Linked DNA regions of Macaca fascicularis. The protein of the gene in region 2 interacts with the protein of the main gene of each other region in a pairwise test. Links are inferred from orthologs where the notes say so. Each region holds a gene or a part of one and is shown on either strand. Other genes may lie near its edges.

Region 1 (5,069 bases), about 75 Mb from region 2:
GTTTAGGATCAGGTGGTTCTATTGGGACTAGCAATTTAGGACCTATCTTTGACTGGCTCACTTGAATTAAGTTTAATAATTGCTGCCTTTTTTTGGGAAAATTGCTCAACAGAGTGGTGAAAAGAAAAGGGGGGGTTTCTTTTTTTTTTTCCTTTTTGTGGAGAACGGGGTCTCGCTGTATTACCCAGGCAGGTCTCGAACTCCTGGGCTCAAGCTATCCTCCCGCCTCTGCCTCCCTGAGAGCTGGGATTACAGGCGTGAGCCACCGCGCCCGGCCAAAAGGGGGGGTTTCAAATTCAGTGTTGTTTGGAGGCATGAAACATAAAGGGGCCATTAAAAAGTTTGCTGCGTAAGAGCAGGATATAGTGTGGCAAGGAGAGGAAGAGAGAAAAAAGTAGGATCGAAAAGAACAGATTGCATCATAGAAGGAAAGAAAAGCTTCTTGACGCGACCTGAACACTTGCATGTTCAAGTCCCATAGCTGTGTGCTTGTTCCTGAAGTGCTTCCAGTGGCTTCTGTCTGTGCCCAGCTCTCAGCCTGCATATATGGTGGCTGCTCAGCAGATGTTCAAAAGTAATATTAAGATAGACTCTTTGGCTCATGCCATTGCTTTTTCTTGTGCCTCTGAATTCCTGTTCTTGTTAGTAAAGGATGCTTGTTTGTCAAATGCAGGGCAGTAGGACATTTTCTAGTAAAGGCTGTCTAAATTCTTGTTTTCAGCTCTTTAATGAAAACTTCCACATAACAAGTCTCTTTGAGCAGTTGGTTGAAAGCCACAAGGGGAAATATATTTTTAAATATTAAGAAGGGCCAGAAAATAATTTAACAATAAAACAACTTTTTCAACCTCCTGGACCAGCTTTCTTGAACTCTAGGGAGTCTGCTATTTTGAGAGCTTAGAGTCGCACTAACCTTGCATTCATTCAAAGTCATCTCCTATCTTTCCAAAACATCGATATTTGCTTCATACACAGATGTTTCCTGCACAACCTTAAATCCGCCATTAACTTTCCCTGAAACTTTAGAACAGCCTATTTTGTTGTTGTTGTTGTCTATACATATTATTTAAAGAGGCTACTACCAATATACTTGTGCTTGCTTGATAATGTATTGGAATATAAGATGTCAAGATTGTGTGAGAAGTGAATGACAAAGCAGGATTAGGCACTGAGAGCTTGGGTGGGAATGTCATGGTTATCGAGGCTGCACTGTGTTAGGCTGTCCAGGGAGAGAGTTGGAAGAAAGAGTTAATTCCTTTTCTTCACATAAATATATTATTTACCACTTAAAATGTACTGGATATGGCCTTCATAAGCAGATGTAGGGATTTTTGTTAAACTCATAATCCCAAGAAGAGGTCAAGATTTCCAGCATTTATTTGGCACTTAATTACTTAATACTTTATCCACCTTTTGGTTTCCTGTCTGATGGCCATATTGTAACCCTCTTGAAGAGAGAGAGAGAGAGTATCCTATATGTCTTAATTGATGGTGATATGGGAGAACCACTGATCCCTGCAGTCATTCCAGTGTCCTAGGTTTGAAATTTTGGTGAGAGGATTGGATCTCATTTTTCACCTTTTGCGGGAGGAGAAAGGATGAGAACATTTTAGTAGCAGAAGCTGTTTTGGGTGACTTTAATCCCCTACTCATTTTGGGGAAAAAAGGAAAAGTGTTGACAATGCATAATGAACAGAGCTATCGTGGGAATTGCAAGAAATAATAAATTTCCATCGGGCGTTATTTGGTAAGTACAGGAGTAATACCTGTAAACCAGGTTTAAAAATCAGAAACACTTTTAAAATGTTATGTTTAAAATTTGCGTTCAACAATACATACAGTAACTCCTAATGGTAGTCATCTTGGCTAAATAAAACAGCCTTTGCTTTCAATATTTCATTTGTAAATGTTACATTGTTCTGATATTTAGTGATATTAAATGTTTTTCCACTTTAAATGTATTTTATAGAAGAATGATTAAAACCTTTTAAAATTAAGGGTGTCCATGACAGTGCCTGAGCTCAACCAGCAATGGTAAAAGGGCATCAGGATTCCCTTTTGTTCTGTTACCTTGACTTGCATGGGAATTAACTGGTCCAATGTGTCTTTTGGAATGTGCTGTGTACTGGTGTAATGTGCCACTAGCAACTCTAGGTAATGTTTTCCATTACCCAAGAAACTGACATGCCCCAATAAGTTAGGCATACTGAGAATCTTGAAAAAAAAAAATGCATTATTCTAACCAACTAGAATTTCCATTTTATTGAGCCGGGCCATCAGAACAATAGCATCTATACCTCTGAAACCTCCTCTTAACCTCTCCCAGGCAAAGAAGGAAAAAGTGATATTTAATTCCTCAGAATGGTGGGATCTCAAGATTTTTAAAAAAGTGCTTATTAAGTATAAGAGGCTTGAAATATAATGATCACAAATGGTAGTCTTTCTAGAAATAATTTTTGTATAATCTGTTTAAAAAATAAGATTATTTTTGGATGCATTGTCCCCATTTGTTTACATGAAGTGTATTATTTTTAAATATAATCAATGAGTTATTTGTTACACAACTGGGTCAAGGTTTCAGATTAAACTAAGAGGTGTGACTAACTACACTTGTCCATCGTCTGAGAAGCAACAGGTACCAGGTTTGTGAGGAACTTGAGGTTCAAATGTGTCCATCTCAGAAGATCCCTGAATCACAGCAGTGTGATTGCATGGAAAAACACGTGGAGTAGTTGATTTAAAATATGGCAGTGTTTTCCATATCATCCAGAGTAACAGCCGTAATAACTTTATTGTGTTGCATCCATTTATAGGACACGGTCTATTAGGATTTTATCACAGGGGTGGAAAAACTACCAGAGACTTAAAGCAAAATAAGAAGCGCAACCTAATTTATGCATTCACTAGAAATTATCCATACGTTCGCTACAACTTTAAAAGAAAAAGTGCAAACAAATCATAACATCTGGCTCTAATACCCCATTGAGGCGCTTATACATATATAAATCCAGTATGTTTCAGATAAAACAGGAAAAAATCTTTTGTAACAGCTGGTCACCATGGTATTGCAGCTGATAGTTACAGATATTGAATTGGTCTAAGACTACATATTAGAACAATATTAGCTTGTAGAATTCAATGAAAAACCAACAACCCCAATATAAACTGCCTTCTCTGGTTCTTTAATGCCTCTCTCCAGTTGTGCTGATTGTGTCGTTACACACCAGGTGCCATGCACTCTCTTGCTTCAACTGCTGTTACCAGTCAGGAACCCCAGATGCCAGAGAGCTGGCATAGATTGAACTCTGCTTGAAAACTGGCAAATAATAGGTTCTCTTTGCCCCTTTCTTTTCCAACTTATAGGACATCAAAGGAAATAGTATATGAACACGAACTAGTTACTACAACAGCCCATTAAGGTTGACTAGAAGCAAAAGGAAGAGAATGTTGGGGGCCATATGTAGGTGCATCAGCTTTTCTCAAGAAAAAATACCCATGTTCTAAGGGCTCTTAAAAATGTAGAAAACTTGCCCTGTTACCACGGGTCTTTAGAACACCTCTAAACACACACAAAATAAGACAGATATTACCTACAAACTTCAACCATTGCTTAAACTCTAAAAGCATTTTTTTGTATTATTTTGTTTTGATACAGAAGGGAAAACTCAGCTATAAAGAAATATTAAATTTTTTTTTTTTTTTTTGTCATCAGTCTCAAGAATATTCCATTGCTTGCCTCCCCCAACTTGTGCTGATATTTTAAGGATGTGCTCAAGAGTATGAAGCAGGGTGCTTTTGTCCCTTTCTCTCCTTCCTAGTAATTCCCTCCTCCCTATCCCATAGCCAAGTAACCACCCCTCAAATGAGCCATTCCTTTTTGCTTTCATCAATGGTCTCTGTGAAATTGGGGTCGTTGTTCATGATGGCGGCGTCTGCGCTCTCTGCCGACTCCGCCCCCTTGGCTTCATTGGTATGGTAGGTGCCCTTGTGGCGGAACATGTACCGGATCAGGAAGACCAGGGTGCAGAGGATAGTGAAAATCACCACAGCAATGACGCCTGGCGGAGAAAGGAGAAGCACGAGAGGTTAGACAGGGCTTGGGTGTCCCTCCAACACTGTCCCCACTTCACTACAGCTCCCTCAGACACAGCCCTCTCCCATATAAAACACAAACTCCAAAACAACAAAGATAACAAAAATGAAGTAAGATTTCTGTTTTTGTCCATGAAGGAGTAACAGGAAAATCAGGAGTAACTTCCCTTCCAGCCAAAAGTAACTGAAATACTGGACACAATCAATGAAATGACAGTCTTCAGACATTAGAAAACGGGCAGAATGGAACCATGATGTCTGAGAACAGAGAAACAAAAAGGAGGAGTCCTACAATTTTCCTCGTTTTCTGGCTGCCAGCAATTTTTGGACAGCAATGTAGGGAGGGGCAGCACAAGAAAGCACAGTGGTTTCCCTGAATGGAGAGGGGAGATAGAGCGCGTGCGAGAGCTGTGTATAGAAAGAACCCTAATAATCTGCACGGAAGTGTCTCTGAATTTGTGTCAGAATGACACTAACGTGTGCATGTACAGAATGAAAGTCATAGGCCAGGCAAAAACCAGAGGGCTCAGAGGGCTGGGAGACGTTTATGTTCCAACCAACCACACTGAAGAGACCTCATTGAATAATCAGAGCATTTAATACAGTTATAGAATGGTCATGCTGAAGATGTTTGCTAAAATAGGCCTAGAATAAAGACTACCCTAGATCTGTCCTGAAAAAGCTTTAAAGCACATCTAAATAACTTCAAGCTGCAGAGAAAAATAATTCAGAGAAAAAAAATGTAGGAAAATGTCACTTGACCAGAAGAAACATCAGTCAATTAGAAGGAGATTCAGAAATGACAAGAGCATGGAATGAGCAGACAAGGATAGTACAATAACTATTAGAAATGTGCACAGGGGTTTAAAGGAAAATATGATCAAAATGAGAGGAAAAAATGAAATAGTGGAACTTGTAGAGGTGAAACATACAGTGTCTGAAATGAAAAAAATACTGGATCAGGCCAGGTGTGGTGG
Region 2 (5,375 bases):
GTCAAGCTTGCAAAGGTAATTGAACTCAGTAGTATAATTACCTAAATTATAGTACAGAAAAATTGTGTCATATTTACAAACCTAATTATATCAAGTGGGAGAATTACCTGAATGATAGTAATCATATGGATGGCGTTCACATACTCTATATGCTTTATTTTTTATTACAAATGCTTTAAAAATAGGAGATTGAAATATAATAGGAAACAAAAAACAACAAACAAACAAACAAACAAAACAGAATCTGGAATCAAACAAACCCCAGCCCTCAAGTTTAAATCCTGGCACCACGGTTTTCTTTCTGTGTAATCTTAGGTAAGTCACTTAACCTTTACCTCAACTTTCTCAGCTATAATATAAGAATAATGGTAATAATATTTGGAAAACTGTATGAGAATACTGTCTATCCCTAAGTAGGTCTATAATAAAAGGCAATTACTGATTCTTTTGTTTAGTAAGTAATAATAATATGTGAACACCCATCAGCTACTTTTTAGTGAATAGTCTTTGTACTATTTTTTCTTATTTTTTATTGTCAAATTGATTACTATATGTTGGGGTAATATATGATACACGAATTTAACCATGGCTCAAAGTGAGACCAAGAAAAATCCAGAATAGAGAAATATCTCAGTTTAAATATTTCACTGTGAAAGCATGCTGATAAAGCATCGTGATTTGAAGATCACTGATATAATAATGCCTTTGGAAATTTAATATATTTTTCCTCACTTTCTCTATAGCACTATTTACAGAAATTGAGGTTATTTCTAAAATGAAAATAGAGAATATTCAAAATATTCCTAATATAGAAGAATGAAACAGAATTATCCCTAGCAGATACAGAGGTTTATTATAAAATTATAATTAATAAGATAATGTGGTTTTGTCACAACTATAGAAAAAATAATATAGGAACAGAACAGAATATAGCAATAAAGCTATGCATATATGGAAGCTTGATTTATGAACACAGATGAAACAGTGATCACTGGAAAAAAGCTGAGTTATTTAATAAATGAACCTGAGGCAATGTGTTATCCATTTAAAATAAAGTAAATTTAAGCCTATTCCTCAGACTATATACTAAAATCAGTACTTCATTGATTAACTACTTCAATTTGAAAGGAAAACTTTTTTTTTTCTTTTTGAGACAGGATCTTGCTCTGTTGCCCAGGCTGGAGTGCAGTGGTACAACCACCACTCACTGCAACCTCAACCTGTTGGGCTCAAGCGATCCTCCCACCTTAGCCTCCTGAGAAGCTGGGACTACAGGCACTGTGCCATCCCATTCCGCTAATTTTATTTTATTATATTTTATTTTATTTGTAGAGACAGGGTCCCATTGTGTTGGACAAGGCAACCTTTAAAACTCTTAGAAGAAGACACAATAGAAAATCTTAGTGGCCTCAGAAAATAGATTTTTTTTAAAAAAGAAAACACAAAAACACTAGTCATAAAAGAAATAGTAGATAAATTTAAACATATTAATATTAAGAGTTTCTAATCATCAAAAGATACTCTAAGAAAAGGAAAAAGAAACAGCATACATTGAGAGAAGATAGATAGTAGCAGCCATATAACTGTGTTCTCCAGGCAAGTTCCCATGATATGCTTATCAGAACACAAATGCAAGAATATCTGTAGCAGCTTACATATAGAAAAAAAAGAATTCAAATATATCCATGGACTTTTCGAAAATCCATGGACTTTTCCATGGAATGGAAAAATAGTGCTATACTGGCAGAATTTAGAATGCTGTACAATGATAAAAAATGAATAAATACAGTCTCTTGAATCAACATAGATATAGCAAAAAGCCTGCACTTAAGAACATTCCATTGATAAACCTAACAAACAAATAAAATTAAAGAGTATATTTTTAATGTTACGTGTTATGAAAAAAATTTGTTTTCTTTTTTAAGAAAGACTTGCAGATGATACACACAATTCAGGCCTGTGGCATTTTAGGTGGGGTAGACAGAGAAATACAATGTAAAAAGAACACTTAGCTTACTAGAAGCTATAATTATGAGAAATGCAATGTGAAAGAAACAGATTTCCTCCTAAACAAGATGCAATAATGTCAATAATATTCTAGTTCTGATAATGGATAAACCTTTAACGTCTGTTTGCTGTTTTTTTGTTTTGTTTTGTTTTTAACACATATGTTATATATATATATATATATATTTAAATGTATTAGGCAACTTCAATGAAGCTTTTAAAAGGAAAATATCTGTACAAAGTTGATGTGAATGATGTAGTATATAATCTTGGTGATTTAACAAATGTTGAGATTTTTTATTGTGACCATATTTTAAACAAATCACTAGATCAAATATTTGCTAAGTAAAATAAATGAATTAAGGTAGAAAATAAGAAGAATAGTTCAAAAGGAGAGAGGCTCAGTGAGAGGTGGAATGGTCAAATAAAGATTTGTGAAAGCAGCAGTGGTTTCTAATGGCAGAGAATGGCCTTTCAGATGCCACTTAATCAGTAGCTCCCAGAACATGTTTTAAATTGGTTCAGGAAATGACAGCTAGATATCAAATCCAAGAAGAACTTAGGAGTGAGGGGGCTTTGACCAACACAATATTATGTTAGCTCCAATTCACAGAAACTCTTTATAGACACAAGTACTTTGAGTAAATGACAAAGTTTTTGTCTAGTTCCATATTTTACACTGTGTGCTGTAAAATACAAATACAGTACTTTGTATGCACCTTTTGAAAGTTTAAAAATTATCATGAACGTACAACCTGATTAAATTCAATGTGGATTTATTTTTCTTTTCACTCCTTCAAGGTGTCTTTGTACAAGCCTTTGAGGAGCTACTTTTCATTGATGACACTAAGGAGAAGAAAATATCATTTTAATCATCTTTTTTCTTCTGTTTGTTTGTTCCCTTTCGTGGTTGAAGGTGAAAGTCTGGTTCCAAAACAGGCGGATGAAGTGGAAGAGGGTAAAGGGCGGACAGCAAGGAGCTGCGGCTCGGGAAAAGGAACTGGTGAATGTGAAAAAGGGAACACTTCTCCCATCAGAGCTATCGGGAATTGGTGCAGCCACCCTCCAGCAAACAGGGGACTCTCTAGCAAATGAAGACAGTCACGATAGTGACCACAGCTCGGAGCATGCGCACTTATGATATACACAGAGGACTAGCTCCATTCTCAGGAAAGAAATGTTGTGATGGCAAGCCTTACCCAAACATCGTTTACACAGAGAGATGACTATGGCAGTGATGTTTAATATTATTAAATCCAGGCATCTCGAATCTGTTTTTCATGATTTATAGAGGGTTTACACAAAGTGCCACTTATTAAAGAGCTTCACAGTGAAGATGGAGAAGGTGAACTTGCTTTGAATATTCCAGATGTGTTTGGTCCTGTGTATGGCAGTGAGCAGGTATGTATTTGCTTTTGCTTGCACTGAAAATTAAATTGCTATCAAGAGCAAACTATGAAACGTTTTTATTCAAGATGCCTCCAAAGTGAAGATGCCGAGGATGAACTTGCATTGAACATTCCAGATGTGTGAGGTCATGTGTATTACAGTGGGCAGGTATTTGCTTTTGCTTGCACTGAAAATTAAATTGCTATCAAGAATAAACCATGAAACATTTTATCCTGAACAGCCACAGTGCCTGAAATCACTCAAGTGGATAAAAAGTGTATTTTAACTCTGTATATATTACCCTTAAGTCATTTTCCTGTCTTCACTAATTGAGCAATGCATTCATATTAGCTGATGAAAATAGGCACTCACAATGACAACCAGAGCCAGCTTCTTGTCTTTTTTATACATTTTGTCATCCCAGAGACAATCAGTATGTGCTTACCTGTGTTCAAGTAGAGAAAAATACAGTAGAGTCTGATAGGACATATTCTTGTACCACAGACAAAACAAATCTTATGTTGCATTTACTATCAACTGCTGCTAATACATTATTATAAAACTTACCTAGCTCCTGAATTCTTCCTATCTTATAGCTTAAAAAAATTAGGATCATAGGCAAATCAGTTACCTTGCAGAAAGAGCTTTGTATGACAGACATTGCCTTATTTTATATCTGTAAAATATTAGCTGTATGAATATGATTTAATTAACAAGGAAACATTTCTTCCTGATTGACAACAGTGTTAGACAAGGTGCAAAGCAAAACTGATTGCTCAAGTTGATAGAAAACAAAATTCTGAATATCTTCAAATTAAATTCGGTAAAAACACATTATTTTTTTCATATGTGATGTATTCATGCAGAACAACAATCTTTGTATTTTGTTTTTAAAATGTGTTTAATAAATGATCCTTTGTAAATAACTTTGGTCTCCCTACTATAATTTCCTTAATTTTTATAGATTTCAATATCAATAATTAACAAAGTCTCAAATCTATCTCACTTGTGCAAATCCAGATGATTATAATTAGTGAATTATTTACGTATTTTCATTTCTGATTTTTTTATTATGGCAGGAAAAAAATCAATCCTTGTGTAATCAAAGGGTGCCTAAGAATGGAGATATATTAAGCTATTTCCCTAATTTGAAGAATACAGTGAATGGATTTTTGGTGTGTGTTTTATGAAGCCACAGATAAAAGTAGGAAAAAAGTATTAAATAATATTATTCAACACAGTGAGGACAATAAAATAGTCATACATTTTTAAAGTTATGTCTGATATATGTAAGTTAATCCAACAGTGGTTTTATAGTCTGAATATGCAGAGTCTCTGATGTGAAATATAAGCTAAACAAGCTAATCAGAGTCCTGAGTCCTAATGGGACTAATGTAAGAAGTAAAGGGTACTATTAATCTAATGTATTTTGCATCATGCCTGATTGTACACGCATAGGGTGCCTGAGTCCTACTTATAACTTTACCACACTGTTTTTCATTTGTTTCATATTCTAAGCGGAAATGCTTGGAAACATTGCCAGCCTTCCTTCCCTGCCACAATCAGAAACAAATACAGAAAAACAATCAGTAAAAATTTCCAAAAACTCATCAGTTAATTGATTTCACTTGCTTTAGAATGATTAGACTGGCAAAAATTAGATTCCATATATTTTAACTTAATCTAGCATGATATGTAGAGAGTATTCCAGAAATAAAGTAAATTTTTTTAGTATCACATTTTCCTTTTGTTGTAATACATTTTATCTCAGTAGTTGACAGTATTTTAAAATAGACCATTCAAATTGAAGTCTCCCAGACATGAAACAGACACTTTTCTATTAGTCATCTGAATTAATACAAAGTCTGTTTGTGCTGATGACATCTACTTGGGTGGACTGATTTTCTTATTGTAGAATAGGATTTAAATTCAAAACATCTCGACAAATTGGTGAAGTGGGAAGATGTAAATCAAATTGA
Region 3 (5,223 bases), on a different chromosome or scaffold from region 2:
GTCCAGTCTCAGCCCCGCTGTGGGGAAGGCCAGGCCAGGGCTGTCCTGGCCATTGGCAACCCCTCCTTAGAGCCAGCCTCTCCCCTGCTCACCCTCGGACCTTCATGCCTGCCCCCACTCCTGCCACAGCCACCCAGGGAGATGGTGGCAGTGCCTGAGCTGGACTCCTGGGTCTGCTCGCCTCTGTGCCTACATGGGGGCTTGGCGTCCCCAAGTTCAAGTGTTCTGGGCTGCGGCCAAAGGTGCTGGTCTTCACTTCCCCATCTGCGGCTCCTCCCTCCCCTTCCGCCTCTGCTTGGAGGCCACAGCCTGGTGCTCGGGAAGCTCGTCCAACTCCCACGCAGCCTCCCAGGGCCCCTCTGCTGGGTCCTCCCCGACTCCCACCTGACACCACCTTCAGAGCAAACACCTACCTCATCACCACTATCCGCTCCTGGGCACTCGGGGGCTGCTCCCAGCCAGCCACTCCAGTTCTTCCCCCAGAGAGGCACAGGGGGCCTGCCCTGCCCGCTAGAAGCCCCCACCACTGCCTTACCCCCACTGCACCGGGACACAGCAGGCCCTTGGCCACCCCTGCATTCGGCCCTGTCCCTCAAGCCACGTGGGGCCCCGTCTTGCCCCACTTTCTAGCTTTGTACCCCTGGGCATTTGCTCATCACCACCTCCCTCTGCTCACCTCTGCACCCCGGGGGGCTGCCCAGAGGGGCCCCACACTCTCAGGACAGTGGGCCTGCTCACCTCTGCACCCCGGGGGGCTGCCCAGAGGGGCCCCACACTCTCCACCCCAGGGGACACTTGTCCCACCAGCTGGGCCCCGGGTTCCACTGGGCTCTGTAGTTTGTTCTCTGGGTGACCTTGGCCATTTTACTTATCCCCAGCCCTAGTTTCCGTCTGTGGGGTGGGGGTTGTGGGGGCTGAGACAGGCATTGCGGCACGGGCTGCCTGTGCTGAAGATGGGCCTCGCTTGGGGCAGCCGGGAGGCCTCCAGGTGCACTGCCGTCCCCACCTTACCTTTGTCCGAGAGCTGGGTGTCCTCCAGGTCCTGGGGGAGCGAGAGCTTCCGAAGAGAGGCAAGATGTCCCGTTAGGTCACCCCGCCAAGGACTGGACCCGGCCACACTGCCCACCCCGGCCGTTGCCATCACCCCCTGCACAGAGCTTCTCAGAGACTCAGGTGCTCAGCAGACGGATGTGGGGGAGGCCAGCTAGGAAGGTCCCGCCATGAGGATGCAGGAGCTGGGCACTGTCCATGCCTTGCCTTACCCCTTGAGCCGTCGGAGGCCTTAGTATTTGGCCACCTGCTCTTCCTCCACCGAGCCCAGCCCACTGAGCAGGGCCACGTGACGGGCAGTGTGGGGCTGTGCCTGGTGGCGGCTCAGCCAGAACCCCAGGTGAAGGAAGGCCAGCCTCGTGCCGGCTGGGGTCTCACTCACCTCCTGGGAGCTCCTGGGTGAGCCATCCTCCAGGTCGGAGCTCTGTGGTCATAGAAAACGGGGTGGGTGGGCTGTGGGGGCAGAGGGCTCCCCAGGCACAGGGTGGGCAGGGCACAGAGCGGGATCCTCCAGGGAGCCCTGGGCATGCCCTTAGCCACGCCAGGCCCCCTCCATGCCCAGAGCAACGTGCTAGGCTGCCTGATGGCCAGGCCCAGCACCCACCCTGGCCCTGCAGCCCCATTTCCTGCTGGGGCCCTGAGCTGCTCCTGTGCCCTCACCCCACTGCGAGGGGGGGTTCGGTTAGGTGGGGGCCCGTCACAGAGGAGGGTTGGGTCAGGAAGGCCCATGTTCCCCCGGCCCTGCGTCCCACCCGCTGGCTCCCCTCCCTGCCCCAGGCCCCAGGCCCACCAGCACGAGCGTCTCCAGCTGCTGCCGCCTGAGCCTGCCCTCCACGGCCAGTAGCTGCGCCTCACGCTGGAACACCTGCAGCTGCAGCTCATCTGCCTTCTCACCCAGCTCCCGCACCTGCTTGCGCAGTGCGTCCTTCTCCTGCAGGCCCCGGGCATGCTGCAGGTGCAGCTCCTCCCGTGTGGCGATGGCCTGATGGGACAGTGCAAGGCCGACCCTCAGTGAGGCCCCCAAGCTCGCCCTGGGCCCTCGGCCTGGCTGCCCAGCTCCGAGCAGAGGCCCCGGAGGACGTCAAGCCGCTGGGTGTGGAGGCTGGCCACAGCCCCTCCCTTTATGTGCTCTGTGAACATGAAGTCAGCATCTGAGGGATTGTAAAGGTGACAGTTGTCCCTGCTGCCCTTCTGTCTCCTCCGAAGCCTGCACCCCCGGTGGACACAGCGTGTGCTGTGCACCGGCCCCCCCAACACACACACACGTGCACATTTGATAAATTTTGGATGTGGCTTGATATGGGGACCCTGACTGTCCATGGCTAAAACTCCTTCATGAGCGCAGCACTCTTCACCACCCCTGTCCCCACTGCAGATGCTGAGGTAGGTACAGGAGCGAACGTGCAAACATGACGGCGTGACCACCCCTGCAGCCGAGGCTGGGAGGCCCTCACCTAACCCCTGCCACTGGACTGGAGCAATGGCTGGCAGCTTCCCTAATCCCTGGCCTACCTGCCCCCGCACAGCCCCGTGGGAGCCCTCGCCCTGGGAGCCACACCAACCCCTATGGGGGCACGACTGGATCTGCCCTTTTTTCCCCATCTTGGGGTGGGCCAGGCGTGAGTGAGGCTGTGGTGGGGCCGCACAGGAGTTCTGAGCCTGTGCTGCTCTCATGGTGGCCAGGGCTTGCTTTATGGCCCCAGGGGTCTCGTTTTAAGGCTCCTGATGTGGACAAACTGCCATCCAGAATTTCGCCGAAGAAGCAGTGGTGTCCATTGGAGACAACCTCCAGGATGGGACTCGGGACGGGGCATAGGAAGCAGACACAGCCCTGCCCCGTGACGCTCTATCCGGCTCACAGCATGTAGCACTCGAGGCCTTGCAGGCCTCACTCCGGTGGCCCAGGCTGGAGTGCAGTAGCGCAATGGTGACTTGCTGTAGCCTCAGCCTCCTAAATAGCTGGGACCACAGGCATGCACCACCACGCCAATTTTTTTTTTTTTTTTTTGAGTTGGAGTCTTGCTCTGTCACCCAGGCTAGAGTGCAGTAGTGTGATCTCAGCTCACTGCAACCTCTGCCTCCTGGGTTCAAGCGATTCTCCTGCCTCAGCCTCCTGAGTAGCTGGGACTACAGGTGCCCGCCGCTACACCCGGCTAATTTTTATATTCTTAGTAGAGACGGGGTTTCACCATACTGGCCAGGCTGGTCTTGATCTCGTGACCTCAAGTGTTCCACCTGCCTCGCCCTTCTAGAGTGCTGGGATTACAGGCATGAGCCACCATGCCCGGCCAATTTTTGTATTTTTTATGGAGTTGGGATCTCACCATGTTGCCCAGGCTGCTCTGGAACTCCTGGGCTCAAGTGATCTGCCCGCCTCAGCCTCCCAAAGTGCTGGGATTACAGGCAAGAGCCACTGCGTCCAGCCAAGTTTTTTTTCAAGATTAAAAAAAGCTACTGGTGCCGGGCGCGGTGGCTCAAGCCTGTAATCCCAGCACTTTGGGAGGCCGAGACGGGTGGATCACGAGGTCAGGAGATTGAGACCATCCTGGCTAACCCGGTGAAATCCTGTCTCTACTAAAAAATACAAAAAACTAGCCGGGCGAGGTGGCGGGCGCCTGTAGTCCCAGCAAAAGTAGTCCCAGCTACTCGGGAGGCTGAGGCAGGAGAATGGCGGGAACCCGGGAGGCAGAGCTTGCAGTGAGCTGAGATCCGGCCACTGCACTCCAGTCTGGGTGACAGAGCGAGACTCCGTCTCAAAAAAAAAAAAAAAAAAAAAAGCTACTGGTAAAACAAGACAGAATGTTTTCATAAAATCAAAAAGATATATAGATAGATAGGTGATAGATAATAGATAGATAGATGATAGATAGATGGATGGATGATAGATGATTGATAGATGATTGATAGATAGATGGATGATAGATTGATAGATAGATGATAGATGATTGATAGATAAATAGATAGATGATAGATGGATGGATGGATGGATAGATGGATGACAGGTAAAAGTCTGTAAGGTGGAGCCGGAAGGTTGAACACAGTTTTCCCTGAGAGCAGGCTGGGGTAGGGAAGTATTGACTTCATCACTGTTTACTTTTTTTTAATGTTAAATATTACTTCTGTCATTTAAAAAGCAGGCCAGGTGTGGCAGCTCAGCCTGCAACTCCAGCGCTCTGGGAGGCTGGGGCCGGAGGACTGCTTGAGGCCAGTAGTTTGAGGCCACCCTGGGTGACATAGCAAGACCCCATCTCAAAAACAAATAACAAAGATTAAAAACTCCGTGACAACTGCCCTCAAGGGGTGTGGCCCTGTGCACCCACCTGTGAGTGGGGTGCTTTGCCCGCCCCGTGAGGTGCCCACCTGGTCCCGTTCAATGGCAACCTCCTCCATCTGCAGCAGGATGGCCTCAATGCGGTCCTTGTACATCTTGGAGTCTTTACGCAGGGCCAGGCACTGCAGCTCAAACATCTCCTTCTCCTCCATGCACTGCAAGGGGCAGCAGCTCAGCCCCCACAGGCCTGAGGCCCCCCATTCTGGCCCTTGGGGTGTACTCGGGGAAGGGGCTCAGGAGCATGTGGTCAGGCCAGTTGGGATGTGGGGGGAGGCCATAGGAGTCCCCAGGCCCCACCTTCCAGGCACGGAGTGGGCGGAGCTCAGCCCACCCAGCGTGGCTTGGCCCCCAGGAGCTGCGTCGCCCTGCCTGCCCTCCTACCCGGAGGCGTCGGGCCTCGCCCTGGCGGAGGTCCTTGCGCAGGGAGAAGATGGTGTTGGCCTGCTCCTGGTGGTCCCGCAGTGCCTGCCGCCAGTCCTCTTCCAGTACCTGGATGTAGGGGCTGCTCCTGTCCAGCTTCCCCTCCTGAAGGGGGCAAAAGGCAATGGCCTGGCTGGGAAGGCCCCGGCTGTCCTGCCCGGGCTGCACCCGCCCTGCCTGCGGCCCCACCTGGACGGAGGCCTCCAGCTCCTGCACCCGGGCCTGGAGCAGGGCCTTCTGCTGCTGCAGCTCCCACAGCAGCTCCTGGCTGGGCCTCTGCTCCATGGCGTGCCTCAGCTTCAGCGTGTGCTTGCGCTCCACCTTGCAGTCGTCCTCGGCCTTCATGAGGCTGTGCTTGAGCCGGTCAATCTGCGGAAGGTCCGGTGAGCCCGGCTGTCCCCTCCAGGTGGTGACAACGGACC
Region 4 (5,375 bases), on a different chromosome or scaffold from region 2:
GACTTTAAGAGTTTATTCTTATTTTTATATGCCTCTTCCCAAGAAAATCATAAACTCATGGAAGAAAAACACTTCTTATGCCTTACATCTGCTTCTACAACACTCAGCACAGAGCCACACATTAGCAGCTCTTGAAAAACACCAGCCAGGCCGGGCATGGTGGCTCACGCCTATAATCCCAGCACTTTGGGAGGCCAAGGTGGGCAGATCACAAGGTTAGGAGTTCAAGACCAGCCTGGCCAAGAGGGTGAAACCCCATCTCTACTAGAAATACAAAAACTAGCCAGGCATGGTGGCATGTGCCTGTAATCCCAGCTACTTGGGTGGCTGAGGCAGGAGAATTGCTTGAACCCAGGAGGAGGAGGTTGCAGTGAGCCAAGATCATACCACTGCACTCAAGCCTGGGTGACAGAGCAAGACTCTGTCTCAGAAAGAAAAATACCAGCCATATAGATCAAGGAAGAAAGGGCCCTGCCAGATTAAGAACAGAGATGGATGGACAGGCATGGTGGCTCATGCCTGTAATTCCAGCACTTTCCGGGGCTGAGGTGGGCAGATCACTTGAGGCCAGGAGTTCAAGACCAGCCTTGCCAACATGATGAGACCCTGTCTCTACTAACAATACAAAAATTAGCAGGGTGTGTTGGCAGGCGCCTGTGATCCCAGCTACTTGGGAATCTGAGGCATGAGAATTGCTTAAACCTGGAGGCAAAGGTTTCAGTGAGCCAAGATCGTACCACTGCACTCCAGCCTGGGCAAGAGAAGAAGACTCTGTCAAAAAAACAAACAAACAAAAAAAAAACAACCAGGGATGAGGCCACCTGGCTTAGCCCTTCTGCATCACCCTAGTAAGTGTCTGAAAAGATCTGGAGCCCATCTTGCTCAAATCAAGTCAGTGAATACTCTCAAGCACAAAAAGGGTACTTAATCATCCTGTCATCTAGGTAGAATGCAGACCATGGAATTAAGAAGACAGTTGTTTCACCGTGTGTGAACCCAGGGCTGGTGAGGGGAGGCACAGGTTGCCATAGATCCCTTTAATAAAGAAGAAATTGAATATTCATGAGGTATAAGAGGAGAACTCTTCCTTTAGTAAAATCAGTGTTCCACATGCTTGGCATAAGCCTCGTATGTTAAATCTCTGCCTTGGAAAAGTAGATATATACTTCTCTGCACCCTATCCCAACCCACATAATTATTTTGGTGTTTAACTCAGAGAAGTTTCTTTAAAGCCTAGGTTACTGCTTGTGCTTATACTCTTCGAAGCTGGGACACTGATGAGTCCTCAAAGCAAGCAGTGGTGTTGTACTCTTTTAATCTGGTCCAATAAACTCTTTGTTGTCTCTTTTAGCATTCCTCCTTGATAATTTAAAAAACCTACTTAAAATTGATAAGCTTTCTTTCCCACAGTTCCTACTGATGATTTTCATCTTTATAACAATCTACAATAAAAACATTAGGTAAAAAAAACTTTCGTATGCTGCTTAAGAGTTACAAAGTATTTCCACTCACAATGTATCTTTACATTATGATTTGATTCTACAACAATCTCATGAGGTTGCTATTAGTCTCTCCATTTTACAGATGAAGAAACTGAGGCTCAGAGGGGTTAAGTGACTTGCCTAAAGTCATGGAGCTACTAATACATGGCGGAGCCAGGAGTAAAAATTCAATCTTCTGACTCTAATCCTGTGTATTCCCTCTGCTCTGTGTAGATTTCACTTTTCTCTGATGGTTTCTTTTCTTGAGTCTTATGTGGGCTTTGTCAGCCATTCAGCTCATCATCGCTTTGTCTCTCAGATACCTCAGTCTTCCAGATTGACACATAGTAGTCATTGTTCTTCACATAACTGCACAAAGTGAAGCAGGTCTCCAGTTACCACAAGCCGGGCCACTGAGGTTCCAATGTGCTCCCTCAGATCAGTGACGGGTGGCTAAATAGAGCAAGGCTCAGCATAACCTAGGCATGGTGTGAGTTCTCAGCAAGTTCACGGAGCTGAATCAGTCTACAAAAAAAAGCCTATTGGGACCTGTAGTGTTGCACCAGAGGAAACAAAGATGAACCTTGAGGTTTCTAGGATAGGTTTAGTGGTGCTGATGTCTAGAGATACAGAGATGAATCAGATGACCTTTAGAAGCTCATCCTTAGCAAGAATTTTGTTACCCTCTTCTGTCTTGCTTGCAAACCTTTGTTTACCTTCAATTAATGAACTATTTTGTTACAGCGTTTAACAGTTAAGCTCAAATCATATTGTCCCACTTCACTAACTGACTTTAAGCAAGTTGTCTAAATTCTCTCAGCCTCAATGTTTGCTTCTGTAAAATAAGGATAGTAATACCTAAATCATAAGATTCGCTATGAGGATAAATCACACAATTTATAATTATCACTAATGTACATTAATTATTTATAAAGTGCCCATCATGGTCCCCATCCCTTTCTCAGTAATCACATGTTTAATTGTAGGTACTAACATTAGCCCCATCTTATAGATGAGAAACCTGAGGCACAGAGATGTTGAGTGACTGGCCCAAGGTCACACAGCTTGTAAGTGGTATGGCTGGGATTTAAAACTAGTCTTGTTCCCGAGGGCAAGTGGCAACTTCCACACTCTAGGGTCTCATTTGCAGGTTCAACAAGGTGAAATAATGTTTATGAAGTCCCTGGAATACTATCAGGCATATTAGTAGAAGCTTAATGAATAGTGGTTATAGTTACTATATTTAACCTCCAAAAATCTTTTCAAACAAGGTTATATCTGTTATGTAAATGTCAATATCACACTTGTCACCTCCTATTTCAAAATCTGTTTTTTAGTTGACAAATTAGAAGAATAATTCAGAGGTACGTTTATTTTATTTGTTATCTTTTATTTTATTTATGACAGTCTCACTCTGTCACCCAGACTAAAGTGCAGTGGTGTGCTCTCAGCTCACTCTCCTGTGTTCAAACGATTCTCATGCATCAGCCACCCAAGTAGCTGGGACTACACACCACATCTGGCTATTTTTGTTTGTTTGTTTGTATTTGTAGTAGAGATGAGGTTTCACCATGTTGATTGACCAGGCTGGTCTCAAACTCCTAACCTCAAGCCATCCTCTCATCTTGGCCTCCCAAAGTGCTGGGATTACAGGTGTGAGCCACTGTGCCTGGCCAGATGGATCTCTTTTTTTGAGATGGAGTCTCACATTATCGCCTAGGCTGGAGTGCAGTGGCATGATCTCAGCTCACTGCACTCTCCACCGCCCAGGTTCAAATGATTCTCCTGCATCAACCTCCCAAGTAGCGGGGATTACAGGCACATGCTACCACATCTGGATAATTTTTGTATTTTTAGTAGAGACAGGGTTTCACCATGTTGGCCAGGCTGGTCTCAAACTTCTAACCTCAAGTGATCCAACCATGTTGGCCTCCCAAAGTGCTATAATTACAGGTGTGAGCCACTGCACCCAGCCTGGATGGATTTTTTAAATGTACCTCTGAATGGCCAGGCCAACATAGTGAGACACTCATCACTATTTAAAAAAAAAAAAATTTTTTTTTTAATCCTTCCATTCTCTGATGCCAGCCATTAACCACAACGTAAAGCATGAATTTGGAGAGGCACATGGTAGAAAAAGGCAATGGTAGCTAGCAACAATGGAGATGCTACTAGGTGTGATAAGCACTAGGTCTTTTCATATGTGTTAGTTACCCAGTTTAACTTTCACAAATAATGGGGGAGGGATTGGCCCAATTTACAGGTAAGAACACTGGGAATCATTGGATTCATTAGTGTTATTAGCAATGAATCTAATGAGTAAGGTAAAGAGGCTAAAGTCACCCAGCTTGTAAATGAAACCTGACTACCACGTTTTTCCACTGCACCCAATTTAGGAGCAAAGCTTAGTATTCCATCGTTTCTTCTCCCTCGGTTTCAGGTATTACGCAGACAACTCCACCGGCCGGTGTGAGAGGTGCCACAGGATCTGCAAGGGGTGCCGGGGCCCACGGCCCACAGACTGCCTGTCTTGCGAGAGATTTTTCTTTCTGCTCCGCTCCAAAGGAGAGTGTCGTCCCTCCTGCCCAGACCATTACTATGTAGAGCAAAGCACACAGACCTGTGAGAGATGCCATCCGACTTGTGGTCAATGCAAAGGTAAGAGTCTGTCATTTTGCATGTGTGCGTAGAAAAATGAAAAGGTTTTCTTCCTTCTTTGCCCCTTTCTCTCTTCTCACCACCTGGGAGGTTCCTCTTGCTTCCCCACCTCGTGTGTGATCCTCTCCAGCATCAGCGCCCTCTGTTGGCTCTTAACTTCTGCCTCTTCCCTCTAACCTGGGCTGCTCCTGCCCATCCCCCATCCTTCAAGGCCCAGAGACAGGCATCATCTCCTTGAGGAAGCACTGTTCGTCCACTCATCATTTTCCTATTCTACCTGATGAATCTGTCTGGGGGGATTTATTTATTTTCATGACTTGCACTATTCCCTGAGACTTGTGCCTCAAACTCTCCCAAGTTCCATACCTCTTTTACAGAAACTTGGCTGTCTGTCCAAGAGATCCTCAAGGCTCACCATCTACCCACGAGCCCAGGCTGATACTTTGAAGTTCTCCTCGACTCTTCTTCCCTTGTCACCTGCCCAACCCACCCACCTCCAACAAAGCTAAACTTCAAGATCTGTTGATTCTCTTTCCCAAATAGTTATCTAATGAGATCTTTTTCCACCCTCACTACCCTCATCTTCCATTTTTAGTATCTAGTATCACACCTTTTGAAGCAGCCAGCAGGTCACCCCAACTCTGAATCTTGCCCCCACACCAGGTCATCTGGTATACTAATGCCACAGTGAGTGCCCTGAAATTCAAATTTCTCGTTTTTCTCTACACCTTGCCATAAATATGTGATCACCGTGAATGCTTCTCAATATTTAAGAAAGAAATACTTCCATATTTTAATTGTTAAAACTTTCTACAAAAAATATTATTAGCTGGTAGGATACATACCTGTGCTTTTCAAAATTATCTTGGCTGTGCTTAGTTCTTTTATGTAAATACGTAATGAGTCCAGTTTCATTTTTTAAAAATCTTTCATTTTTAAAAAGTATTTTGATACTGAGTGGCGTTGCATTGAATTTATTTTGGAGAAAATCCCACCTTTACAATCCTGAGTTATATTTATGAATGTGGTATATCTCTCCATTCTATGCATTTACTTATTACACTTCAGTAAAGTTTTAATAAGTGTTTTTTGTTTGTTTGTTTGTTTGTTTGTTTTTTGAGATGGAGTATCGCTCTGTCACCCAGGCTGGAGTGCAGTGGCATGATCTCAGCTCACTGCAACCTCCGCCTCCCAGGATCAAGTGATTCTCCCGCCTCAGCCTCCTGAGTAGCTGGG

The links. The genes of interacting proteins can lie anywhere in the genome.
Region 1: the proteins of MEOX2 (region 2) and CNTNAP2 interact in binary tests that used the Homo sapiens proteins (3 or more experiments, as listed by UniProt). The link is inferred for Macaca fascicularis from reciprocal best matches to the Homo sapiens genes MEOX2 and CNTNAP2.
Region 3: the proteins of MEOX2 (region 2) and CARD9 interact in binary tests that used the Homo sapiens proteins (3 or more experiments, as listed by UniProt). The two-hybrid records come from large-scale screens. The link is inferred for Macaca fascicularis from reciprocal best matches to the Homo sapiens genes MEOX2 and CARD9.
Region 4: the proteins of MEOX2 (region 2) and PCSK5 interact in binary tests that used the Homo sapiens proteins (3 or more experiments, as listed by UniProt). The two-hybrid records come from large-scale screens. The link is inferred for Macaca fascicularis from reciprocal best matches to the Homo sapiens genes MEOX2 and PCSK5.

The regions. Positions count from the first base shown.
Region 1 is NC_088377.1:190,060,322-190,065,390, reverse strand, and holds part of CNTNAP2 (contactin-associated protein-like 2), read right to left. Parts: intron 4,059-5,069; coding exon 3,859-4,058; 3' UTR 1-3,858. UniProt on the Homo sapiens protein: Required for gap junction formation. Required, with CNTNAP1, for radial and longitudinal organization of myelinated axons.
Region 2 is NC_088377.1:114,575,654-114,581,028, forward strand, and holds the end of MEOX2 (homeobox protein MOX-2), read left to right. Parts: intron 1-2,923; coding exon 2,924-3,148; 3' UTR 3,149-4,322; downstream 4,323-5,375. UniProt on the Homo sapiens protein: Mesodermal transcription factor that plays a key role in somitogenesis and somitogenesis and limb muscle differentiation. Required during limb development for normal appendicular muscle formation and for the normal regulation of myogenic genes.
Region 3 is NC_088389.1:3,001,427-3,006,649, reverse strand, and holds part of CARD9 (caspase recruitment domain-containing protein 9), read right to left. Parts: intron 5,171-5,223; coding exon 4,991-5,170; intron 4,907-4,990; coding exon 4,763-4,906; intron 4,537-4,762; coding exon 4,411-4,536; intron 2,033-4,410; coding exon 1,841-2,032; intron 1,475-1,840; coding exon 1,433-1,474; intron 1,058-1,432; coding exon 1,012-1,057; intron 395-1,011; coding exon 113-394; intron 1-112. UniProt on the Homo sapiens protein: Adapter protein that plays a key role in innate immune response against fungi by forming signaling complexes downstream of C-type lectin receptors.
Region 4 is NC_088389.1:107,034,676-107,040,050, forward strand, and holds part of PCSK5 (proprotein convertase subtilisin/kexin type 5), read left to right. Parts: intron 1-3,921; coding exon 3,922-4,139; intron 4,140-5,375. UniProt on the Homo sapiens protein: Serine endoprotease that processes various proproteins by cleavage at paired basic amino acids, recognizing the RXXX[KR]R consensus motif. Likely functions in the constitutive and regulated secretory pathways.